Linked DNA regions of Ovis aries. The protein of the gene in region 1 interacts with the protein of each later gene in a biochemical or structural test. Links are inferred from orthologs where the notes say so. Each region holds a gene or a part of one and is shown on either strand. Other genes may lie near its edges.

Region 1 (2,908 bases):
TCTGTTTGGCCCCTCAAATGACGAATGATCTATACGGAGGAGCGTCTGCAACTGATCTGGTAACAGGGATGCTAACTTTGAATCCCAATTACGTTACCCCATAAAAAAAAGCATTCCATTCTTCTCAGTGTACCTGTTACCATTACAAAAAACTGTACTCAATTATGATATTTTGAATTTCATCCAAAAGTTGTGGAAATTTTGTTTTCTCGTTAAATAAACACACACATAATTTCTTTGATTTTGCCTCTTGGCCAATAAAGCTTAAACAGTTGGGGATTCTCTGGCTGAAGAATGGTTAGGATTCTGCCCTCACTGCTGAGGGCCTGGGTACAACCCAAGATCTCACAAGCCAGATGGAAAAAAAAAGCCTAAATGTTTACTAATTTGAACCCACTGTAGAAAAAGTTCCCCAACCCCTGCTTTTGGAAGTCAAATTGAACACCAAAGCATCTAAGACATTCAATTCTAATCCTGAATAAATTATATGCTGAGGAAGAAGAGCACAGCTTCTTAAATATTAACGCACACTTCTTTTTATTATATTAAAATCAGGCAATGGTCTGACAATAAAAAGACTGCTTATGGAATACTGTTATGTTAAACTTTACTTACAGGATGTTAAACCCTTAGAACTAAGGTTTCCTCCAGAAAAAGATTAATGGAAACATCAATTGCTTTTCAGACTTGATAGTTGCTGCTTCAAAAGGTGGTTTTACACAGACACTGAAAAAAAAAAAAAAAACCCTTGGAGCACAATGAATTGATTTTATTTCGGTAGGCATCCACATCTCAGCATTTAGTGGTCCTGAACAGAAAAGTGGAAAAATGCAGCGATTCGCCAGGAATTTCGGGGGTCTGCCGTGCACACCGAGGTCTTTCGTGACCCCTGCTGAGGGCCGGGAGAAGCAGCAGCACCCAAACCAAAGTATGCACCGGATTCAAGGCTCTTTTCGCTCCAGTTGTCAGCTTCCGAACCAGACCCGAGTGGACTCAAAGGATGGCCCAGTGAGAGCCCTGTGTAAAGCTTCTTCCATGTTAGAAAGCCAAAGCCTCTACAGGAAAAGGACAATTCATTCCGAGGGGTCGTGTGTGCTTCCAAGTGGCCTTCCTCCAAGTTTAACCACCAAGGAGGCCGCGAGCTGGCAGGCCTGAGTAACCCTGGTGACTGTTCTTTTCACCTTATCGAAACCTGAGCTAAAGAAACGCATCAGCTGACGATGACAGCAGAGGGTGGCAAGGCTGAGAACCCAATATTCGTTTCCCAGGCTGGTGGAGAGTAAATTGTGGTTCCAAGACTAAATGAGGGGAGGTCAGAGACTCTTTCCAACCTTACCTGATGGCTTCCGGCCAAAGCAAGGAAGCGTCATGGGAAGTGTTGGGTGTTGGTGGTGCAGAAAGGGACTTGAGGAGGAGGAAGGAAAAAGCAGCACCCCTCGATTTAGGTGGGGGGAGAAGATACGGGGAAAGCCCTGAATTCCTCACCAAAGGCCAATTTCAGAGGGGAGCAGAGGGGTTACAATCTATGCCTCGGCCAAGGGCGGCAGTGGAGGGTGGGGGGGGGGGGGAGGAGGATTGATGGCTTGGAAGAGGGGCGTCACTTAAGACTTAGAGAGAGACCAGGGATGCGGACAGAGCAGCCCACACGCCAGCAGTGTCCCCCAGGCTGTGACCTGAAACCTTCACGCCTACTCTAACAAGCCACGCCTAGCTGGAGGGCTGTTGCAGGGAGTGGGGAGGGGGGAAGGCAGAGACCCCAGGCCGTGGAATCAGCAGCAAGGTGGCTGTGTGATGTGTCTTTTCACAGTTGAGTTAGACGTGCCCCACCGGTTAGGATGGGAATCAATTTAAATATCACTTTCTTGATCCCAGAAGTTCAACTATGTGGACAGTGGTTACACTTGACAGGATGATTTGTTATAGCACAACTTATATATTTCAAATGGACAAAAAATTAGTATCATTTACAGTATCTTAAGATAAACTGCCTTTGAATGGGAGCTTTCTTTCCAGTACTTTGAGGTCTACAAGACGAATCTAGAAAATTTACTACTGTGGAAAATGAAGACTGCTTAAATCGAATGGGGGCAGGGGAGGACCTGTGGTTTTTCTTTTTGATTAATTGCTGTAACACTGTCCTTCAGGCGGCTGAGGAAGTTTCATATTTTCTTTAGACATCATTAGGCGCCGAAGCTCTTGCAGGACAACTTTGATGCTATACGAATTCTGCCATTTTGCTAGCACTGATATGGCTCTTGGGTCCACCTATAGAAAGGCAAAGATAAAACAAATTACTGTCAGGCTCTCAAACAAAAGGAAAGCTGTGTGCTGGAGCTAAGCTACAGCAGAAAAGTGAGTGAGAAGCATTTTTCAGGTGGAACATGCTGGTCACCCAGCAGGACTGACACGCGGAATGCCCACGGGGTTCCCTCCCTCCCGCTGGTCTGCTTTGCCCTTGTTTGGGAACCCTCATGGCCTGGAAGGAGGGAATTAAGGGCAAGTAAAAGCCGCCTTTACAGATGAGGCACCAACGCCTGGTGAGGCTCAGCTGGCTGTGAAACGACGGCCCCGCCTGCTGGGCGAGCTGCGGCCACCGCCCAGGGCCTGTCCTCCCCACTCTGTGCCCAGGTGGCGGGCGATGCTCAGGGCCTGTGCTACCCACTCTGTGCCCAGGTGGCGAGCGATGCTCAGGGCCTCTCCTCCCCACTGTGCCCAGGTGGCAGGTGATGTTCAGGGCCTGTCCTGCCCACTCTGCACCCAGGTGGTGGCCACCGCTCAGGGCAGTAGGGAGAGTGAGGCAACAGCAGACCAGAGCCTGTCCGAGCCACCCCCCTCAAGTCAGTGCAGTGCCCCCCTGGAGAAACGCCTCCAAGCAGGAACTTCTCCTGGGTTTAGGACATCAGGTGGG
Region 2 (3,750 bases), on another chromosome or scaffold:
CCTAACTTGCCTCACAGGAGCTGGCTCTGGGGTGCCCTTCCACTGGCATGGACCTGGGTTCTCGGAGGTGATCTATGGCCGCAAGGTCAGCACAGGGTGCAGGCTGAGACTCTGGGTTCACTGACCAAAATACAAAGCATAACTTTGCTGCTCCCCGCCAACCCCCAGCGCTGGTTCCTGTACCCTCCTGAGAAGACACCCGAATTCCACCCCAACAAAACCACACTGGCCTGGCTCCAGGACACATATCCAGCCCTGACACCATCTGCACGGCCCCTGGAATGCACTATCCAGGCTGGTGAGGTCAGTGGCTGGCAGACGGGCCAGGCTGAGCCAGGCCAAGGACCCCCATCCAACCCATCAACCCACATGTCCCCCCAACCCCTCGCCAGGTGCTGTATTTCCCGGACCGATGGTGGCATGCCACACTCAACCTCGACACCAGCGTCTTCATCTCTACCTTCCTCGGCTAGCCAAAGGGGGTGGCTGGCAAGCCCACCGCACACCAGCACACATCCCTGCAGTACTCACAGGTTTTATTACAGGGACAGAGGTGGTGGCAGCAGCCTCAGCCCAGCCCAGCCTCACCCCCCCTTTCCGGCCCAGAAGGAGGATGAGAGGCGTGTTGCCCAGCAGAACTGATGGGGGTGGGGGTGGGGACACCAGGGTAGGGATCCAGGGACACAAACTATATACAGAAAACTAGGGGCTGCTGCCCCAAGGCCCTCCTGAACTAGGGTACCGGGCAAGGCAGGTGGGTGGCCCATACACCCACCCTGCTCAGTAATCCTCTACCCAGCCATTCTCAGAGATGAAGGCATCGATGACCTCTTTCATGGCCAGGTTGGGGATGAGCTGTTCCTGGGTCAGGGGGCTCCGAGTCACAGGGTCAAAGTGGCCCACGCGCTGCAGTGACAACAGGGCAGAGTCAGGGGCTGCTCAGTGCGCGTGGGCCCTGCTGCCAGCGCCCACAGACCCTCACCTGCAGGTGCTCCTCGATGTCCTTACGGTCGTATGTGATGCCACTGGGCGTGATGCAGGGCTCCCGCATCAGCTCAAAGCTGATCTTGCCGCACAGGTAGTCAGGGATGTCTCGCTTCTGCAGCACACAGGGTTGGATCAGGTCAGGGGCTGGGAAGGGACACTGCTCTAGCTACCCACCGGCCCCAGAAGACGGGCAGCTCACCTTTCTCTTCTCGTCTACCTGGGAGAAGAGCTCGTCCATGTCTGCCAAGTACTTGTCCTGCAAAGAACCAAGCAGCCACTTGTGGGCCTGACACCCCTCTCCCCTCCCCAGACACCGAGACACAGACCCAGCAGGAGCCAGGGCACCTCACATCACAGCGCACGCACACACAGGACCCACACTCGGGCTGGGGCACCCTCACATGCTTGGCCTCAATGCAGGCCTGCTGGGCCCGTACGTGGCTGTCGTCCTCGTCACCCTCGTGGTTCCGCTGACACTCTTCCAGTTCCCTGGGGGTTGACCAAAAGGTGTTCAGAGATGGGTCTGGCCAGGGGCAGTCAGACTCCACTCCAGACTTAGGATCATTCAGGCCCCTTTCCCTCCATCTCCTGCGTGCCAGAATTGGCCTTCAATAAACACTTGTGTTCACACCTCAGAGTTAACCTAAGAGTGGTGACTCGAAGAGGGGGAGCCCACCTCTCACGCTCAGCCACAATGAGCCGTGTGAGGTAAGAGTGCAACTCATTTTCCTGGTGGATGCGTCGCTCCTCGATGCTGTTCCAGCGCTTCTTCTTTGCGATGCGCAGAGCACTGGGGATGTCATCCCCAAAGTTGAGCCGCTGCTCCTTGGCCAGGTTGTAGGCTGGGGGATAGAGCATTTGGGTAAACTTCAACCAGTCCACCCACCTGGTCCCAGGCACCCTGGAACCAGCTAGCCTGTAAGCCCACCTCGCTGCAGGTTGGCAATAGCCTCATCATAGCTTTCCATCTCCAGCTGGCATTGCCCCAGGAAGAAGTGTGCCTTCACAGACTGCCCGTCCAGCTCCAGGGCGCGCCGACAGTCGGCCAGGGCTTGCTCGTGCTGCTGCATCTTCAGGTAGCACAGTGCCCGGTTGGTGTAATACACGGCCACCAAGGGGTTCCGGGTCTGGGGACCAAGGCCGGGCCAGCCAGCATGAGGGAGTGAGCTCAGCCTGCCCACTCCGTCCCAACTTGAGGCCCGCGGTTGGAACCAAGACACTAGCATTTTCTCAGCTTCCAAGCCCCTGGGTTCTGAGGGAGGGTGAAGCCTACGTGAGCCCACTCTCTGGACTCCAATGAGTCTTGTGAAGGTAGTTTTCCCGGACTCATGGAAATCCCCAGCATCGCGTTTGACTCCTCAAGGGGCAGGGATGCCTGGTCCCCAGCCCAGTGGGCCTCGAACACCTACGGTTCCCACCCAGCACAGTTCTCTGGCAGCCCGCACTGGCTCGGGAAAGGCGCGGCCTTGGCCCCAGACCCCAAGCACCCACCCCCTCCCTCCGAAAGTCTGGCGGGCACGGCCTGACATGTTCTGAAGAGGGCGCGCGGCAGAAGCCGCAGCTCGGCCCCTCCCCTGGCTCGGACGCCAAGCCCCTCCCGCAGCGCGGGCGCACTCACGATGGCGCGGCCGTAGCAGGCCGCTGCCTCCGGGTACTTGCGGCCCACGAAGAGCCGGTTGCCCTGCTCCTTGAGCTCCTGTGCGCTCGGGCTCTTCTCGGGGCTGCCGCCGCCGGCGCCCAGCCGTGCGCCGCCCTCCTTCTCCTCCTTGCCCTTCATGGCGCCGCACGGCACCGCCTGGGCTCCGCTCCCAGGCTCCGCGCCCAGCCCGCCCTGCGCCCGCAGCCCGAGCCCGCGATCCGCTCGGGCTCGGTCCAGCGCTCCGCCACCGGAACTTCCGGTCTGCAGGTAGGCGGGGCCAGCGGAGCGGACCGCCGCACGGGTGGGCGGGGCCGTGCGTGCCCCCGGCGCGCTGTGGGGGCGGGGCCGGCAGGGAGGGGGACTCTGGCAACGCGACGCGGCGTCAAGGTTTGCGACGCGCTGGGTCACCCGGGCAGACGCCCGCCCGGCCGCGCTCCGACGCCCCGCCCCCGAGGCCTCGCCTGGCGCGGGGAGATGGCCGCGGCTGGCGGGCTCTGGAGCTGTGAGGACCCAAGCCGCTGGGCCGCCGTCTTGGAGTGCCGCGGGGCGGTGCTGCGGGCGCGCGCGGGCCCCCAGGGGCGGCTGGAAGCGCTGGACCGGTGGTAGGGCGGAGGGGGCAGGGGCGGGCGGGCCGAGCCCCGTGGCCCGGACTCCGTAGCGCCGCCTTCCCCCAGGTACCGAGAGGAGCTGCCCGCGGCCATCGGGGCCCGCGCGGAGAAGCACGTGACACTAGACGAGCTGCAGCGGCTGCTGGCGTGGAAACTGGCGGTAAGGCTTCCCACTTGGGGCGCGGCACAGCCACGTGGGTGGGGCTTCCCAGGGGGCTCACCCTCGTGGCAGTCTTGAGGGGCCTCCCAGCGAGGGCCGCCACCCGTGACACCCGACCCGACCTGGCCACAGAGGGGCCGCTTCCGACCGCGCCTGCAGCAACTCGTGGCCGCCAACTCTCCGGAGCTGGTGGTGCAGCGTTCGGCCGCCGCCTTCCGCCTCCTGCCAGACATGCACGCAGCGGTCATGGCTCTGTGCGCCCTCCGTGGCGTGGGCCCGGCTACCGCCTCGGGTTAGTCGGGAAAGCTGGACCACCCCCGGGCAGGGTCGCTGGCGGAACCTGGCCTGTTAGTGTC
Region 3 (3,650 bases), on another chromosome or scaffold:
CTTCCTAATAGTCATCTGAAGGAAGTTCTATTATCTCACTTTATAGGAGGAAACTGATGCAGAGAGTGGCTAAGTAATGTTTACCAGAAATTCTGATATCAGAGCCCATCTCTTACCCATGCTATGTGGACTTTTATACATGGGGTTTAGAAATCAAAATATATTTTAATGAAATGCATTAAGTGTGATAACCTTTAAGCTGACCACAGCGAAAGTCAATTACAACAGGTTTTTAACCTTTTTTTGTTTTTTAAGAAAAAAAGTTTAGATGTTATAATACCTGAAACATATCAGTGTTGCTGTCATGAGTATATTCAACCACTACTGTCTGTGCTCGAGACAAGGTGTATGATATGCTATGCTGGTCCTTATTGCTTATTGCCTAAGAAAAAAAAAGATTAATAGCAGAAATTAGCAGGTACATCAATCTAAATAGATAACCATAATAGATAAAAGATAACCTTTTTTTCAAAAAAAAAAGAGAGGGAGCTGTGCTCATTATACTATAACAATGTAATTGGAAAAAGAATTTGAGAAAGAAGAGATACATATAAATGTATAACTGAATCACCCTGTTGCACACCCAACACTAATACATTGTATTGGAGTATATGTACTCCAACATAAAACAAAAGTTAAAAAAAAAATACCACTATATTGCTTCAAGGGTAAGTCAACTATTTTATAATTACAAAACAAAACATCTCTTATGTCACTGCTGGTATTCATTTCAACCATACACAGACGTATAAAAATATATATGTTAATACATAATCAAGGACATCACTGCTGCTACTTTGAATAAAATGTTTGATCAATTGAGAATAAGAAAAATAGAGGTTTTTATTCTTTCTTTAAAAAACAATGATCTATTTATTACATGTATGACATATTTTCCCCCTGAAATTTAGAGATTAATAACTTGCATAACCTTTGCTGTGACAGTGGTTTCTTAGAGTGAGTGGAGTACAGAAGAATTTAGGCAGACCTCATTTTATTATGCTTCACAGATAACTGAATTTTTTATAAACTGAAGATTTGTGGCAACTCTGCATTGTCAGATGATGGTTAGCATTTAGCGTTAAAAGTACTTTAAAATTAAGGGCTTTCCTGGTGGCTCAATGGTGGGAAAGTCCATGGAGAGGGGAGCCTAGTAGGCTACAGTCGATGAGGTCGCAAGAGTTGGACACAACTGAGTAACTTTCATGATGCTATTACTGAACACTTAGTTCTCAGTCACTCAGTCATATCCGACTCTTTGTGACTGATGGACTGTAGCCCGCCTGGTCCTCTATCCCTGGGGTTCTCCAGGCAAGAATACTGGAGTGGGTTGCCATTCCCTTCTTCTGGGGATCTTCCTGACCCATGGATTGAACCCAGGTCTCCTAAATGGAGGTGGTTATTTACCAGGTGGATTCTTCACTCTCTGAGCCACCAGGGAAGCCTGCACACTTAGGGGACCACAGCATGGTGCAAACATAACTTTTATATATATATTAGGAAATGAAACCAGTTGTGATTTGCTTTATTGTGGTGGTCTGAAACTGATCCCAAAATATATCTGAGGTCTATCTGTGCACTGAAGCAATTACAGAGTAAAAACATAAGTTCACTGTATAAAAAAATTGTAAAATCTGAGTCTCCATTATAAGTATTTCAAGTTATAAGATACTTAAAAATCAAATCCCAGATAGAAAATGAAAGCAGTACTCAGTACTGCTCTGATAAGGAGAAAACACAAAATCTTGCAAGACAAGATTATTTATTTAAGAATCTTATTTAATAACTCAAAGAGGCTTAAAGTTAACAAATAAGCAAAGTTAACTGGTTTTTCTAGCCACTCTGTGACTCTATAGATGACAAGTATTTGCCATATGCTAGGCTAGATACAGAAAAATTCATAGAATGATTAAACATACCAAAGGAAATGGATATAATGCTTATGACTGTACTTTTGACATATGCCAAACTAAAAACATTGTTAAAAAGAACTTCTCAGTTTTGTTTTCGGGCGTTTTCTATGCATATGAGTTGATGATAATATCAGAGGGGGAAAAACCTGCACAGAGGAAGTGGAAACAGGCTGTGTAAAAGAAACAGAGAAAGACACAGAAGAATGATTATATGCAGCAAAGAGGCTAAATGAAAACAAAAAAACACTTTCGTAATTAGAACTTTGGTATTATGAAATTTTACTTGGTTTCAATTGGTAGCTAACCTGTAATGATAAAGTCTTCATAGTTTTAAGATAATTAAGACTGTGAAATTTTCAAATATACAAAAAGAATATATAAATACCTGGGTACTAACTACCCAACTTTTATCATTCTTACTAATACCATTTCTGCTTCTGATATTTTAAAAGAAATTAAACTGCAGATATAATGAAGGCTGCTTATATGTCCTTCCCTACTCCTGTCTCTGTAGAGGAACTGAACCTCAAGAGTACAGTTAACGTCACTCCCATGCACTTTAACAGGCTTTATATGCAGGCTTTACCACACATTGATGCACTCATAAACATGACAAAATGGTTTTAAAGATTTAAAAATCTATAATTACTTTATCTCAACATTAAGCAGCTGACTTTTCAATGAAATAATTTTTTAGTACTTTGGCCATTAATTCTTAAAGGCTAAAGGGATTTAAAAACACAGGTTTTGTATACTTTGAGATTATAAACTGTGTTTTTTTAAACTATGAGATCTACTCAGATTGAGAATACAGAGCTGTGTCAAGTTAAATTCTCACTGGATTGGAAGTCAGGGTTTAAGCACTCATCCCAGATGACTGCTAGACTAAACAGTTAGTTTTCTCCCTGACCTCATTATACACTCCTCCAAAACTGAAAAAGCAGAAAGTCAATTTTTGATCCCTAAGATTCCTGCTGCCTAGTAAAGATGCAAAGGAGCCAGCAATGAAACATGAGAAGTATGACAGTAAAAACATGAAGAGACGTACACAACAGGAAATTACAGAAGCAAGGCTTAGAAAGATTTCCCTAGGATAGTAGTTCTTAACCAGAGGTAGTGTCAGCTGTGTAAGGGGCGTTTGCCGGCTGTGTTTGCTGGCCATCACAATGATTTGAGGGCTGAAATGGCATTCAGTGGGAAGGGACCAAGAATATTAGGTTGGTGCAAAAGTAATGGCTGTTCTGCATTGTTGAACTCTGCCTTTAATACTGGAATAAATTCCTAAATAAATGTGGCTATGTTATTATACATCATTTTAATGTGCATTTCTCACTTTATTTTTTTTGCTAATGACTTATTACTTGTTTATATTTATTTTAGACTACAGAAATGATGCTAGATATAAAGCAAATTTGGGCAATTTTTTTATTCGAGTTCAAAACGGGTCATAACGTAGCAGAGACAACTTGTAACATCAATAATGCATCTGGCCCAGGAACTGCTAGTGAACGTACAGTGCAGTGGTGGTTCAAGAAGTTTTGCAAAGGAGACAAGCGCCTTGAAGATGACGAGTGTGGTGGCTGGCTATCAGAAGTTGACAGTGACCAACTGAAAGCATCACTGAAGCGGATCCTCTTATAACTACACAAGAAATTGCCAAAGAATTCAACGTCGACCATTCTACGGTCATTTGGCATTTGAAGCAAATTAGAAAGGTAAAAAATCTTGGTAAGTGGG

The links.
Region 2: the proteins of UBE2V1 (region 1) and STUB1 form a complex in vitro, tested with the Homo sapiens proteins (4 studies listed by BioGRID). The link is inferred for Ovis aries from reciprocal best matches to the Homo sapiens genes UBE2V1 and STUB1.
Region 3: the proteins of UBE2V1 (region 1) and PELI1 form a complex in vitro, tested with the Homo sapiens proteins (3 studies listed by BioGRID). The link is inferred for Ovis aries from reciprocal best matches to the Homo sapiens genes UBE2V1 and PELI1.

Annotation. Positions count from the first base shown.
Region 1 is NC_056066.1:78,130,812-78,133,719, forward strand, and holds the end of UBE2V1 (ubiquitin-conjugating enzyme E2 variant 1), read right to left. Parts: intron 2,266-2,908; coding exon 2,119-2,265; 3' UTR 514-2,118; downstream 1-513. UniProt on the Homo sapiens protein: Has no ubiquitin ligase activity on its own. The UBE2V1-UBE2N heterodimer catalyzes the synthesis of non-canonical poly-ubiquitin chains that are linked through Lys-63.
Region 2 is NC_056077.1:1,118,287-1,122,036, reverse strand, and holds STUB1 (E3 ubiquitin-protein ligase CHIP), read right to left. Parts: upstream 2,765-3,750; coding exon 2,606-2,764; exon of another isoform or gene 2,600-2,605; intron 2,115-2,599; coding exon 1,916-2,114; intron 1,830-1,915; coding exon 1,664-1,829; intron 1,623-1,663; exon of another isoform or gene 1,477-1,622; coding exon 1,389-1,476; exon of another isoform or gene 1,244-1,388; coding exon 1,187-1,243; exon of another isoform or gene 1,100-1,186; coding exon 983-1,099; exon of another isoform or gene 907-982; coding exon 781-906; 3' UTR 520-780; downstream 1-519. Other genes in the region: JMJD8 (jmjC domain-containing protein 8), read left to right, coding at 18-85, 169-303, 393-473; uncharacterized protein LOC101103616, read left to right, coding at 2,763-2,893, 3,301-3,394, 3,527-3,686. UniProt on the Homo sapiens protein: E3 ubiquitin-protein ligase which targets misfolded chaperone substrates towards proteasomal degradation.
Region 3 is NC_056056.1:44,196,847-44,200,496, reverse strand, and holds part of PELI1 (E3 ubiquitin-protein ligase pellino homolog 1), read right to left. Parts: intron 383-3,650; coding exon 281-382; intron 1-280. UniProt on the Homo sapiens protein: E3 ubiquitin ligase catalyzing the covalent attachment of ubiquitin moieties onto substrate proteins. Involved in the TLR and IL-1 signaling pathways via interaction with the complex containing IRAK kinases and TRAF6.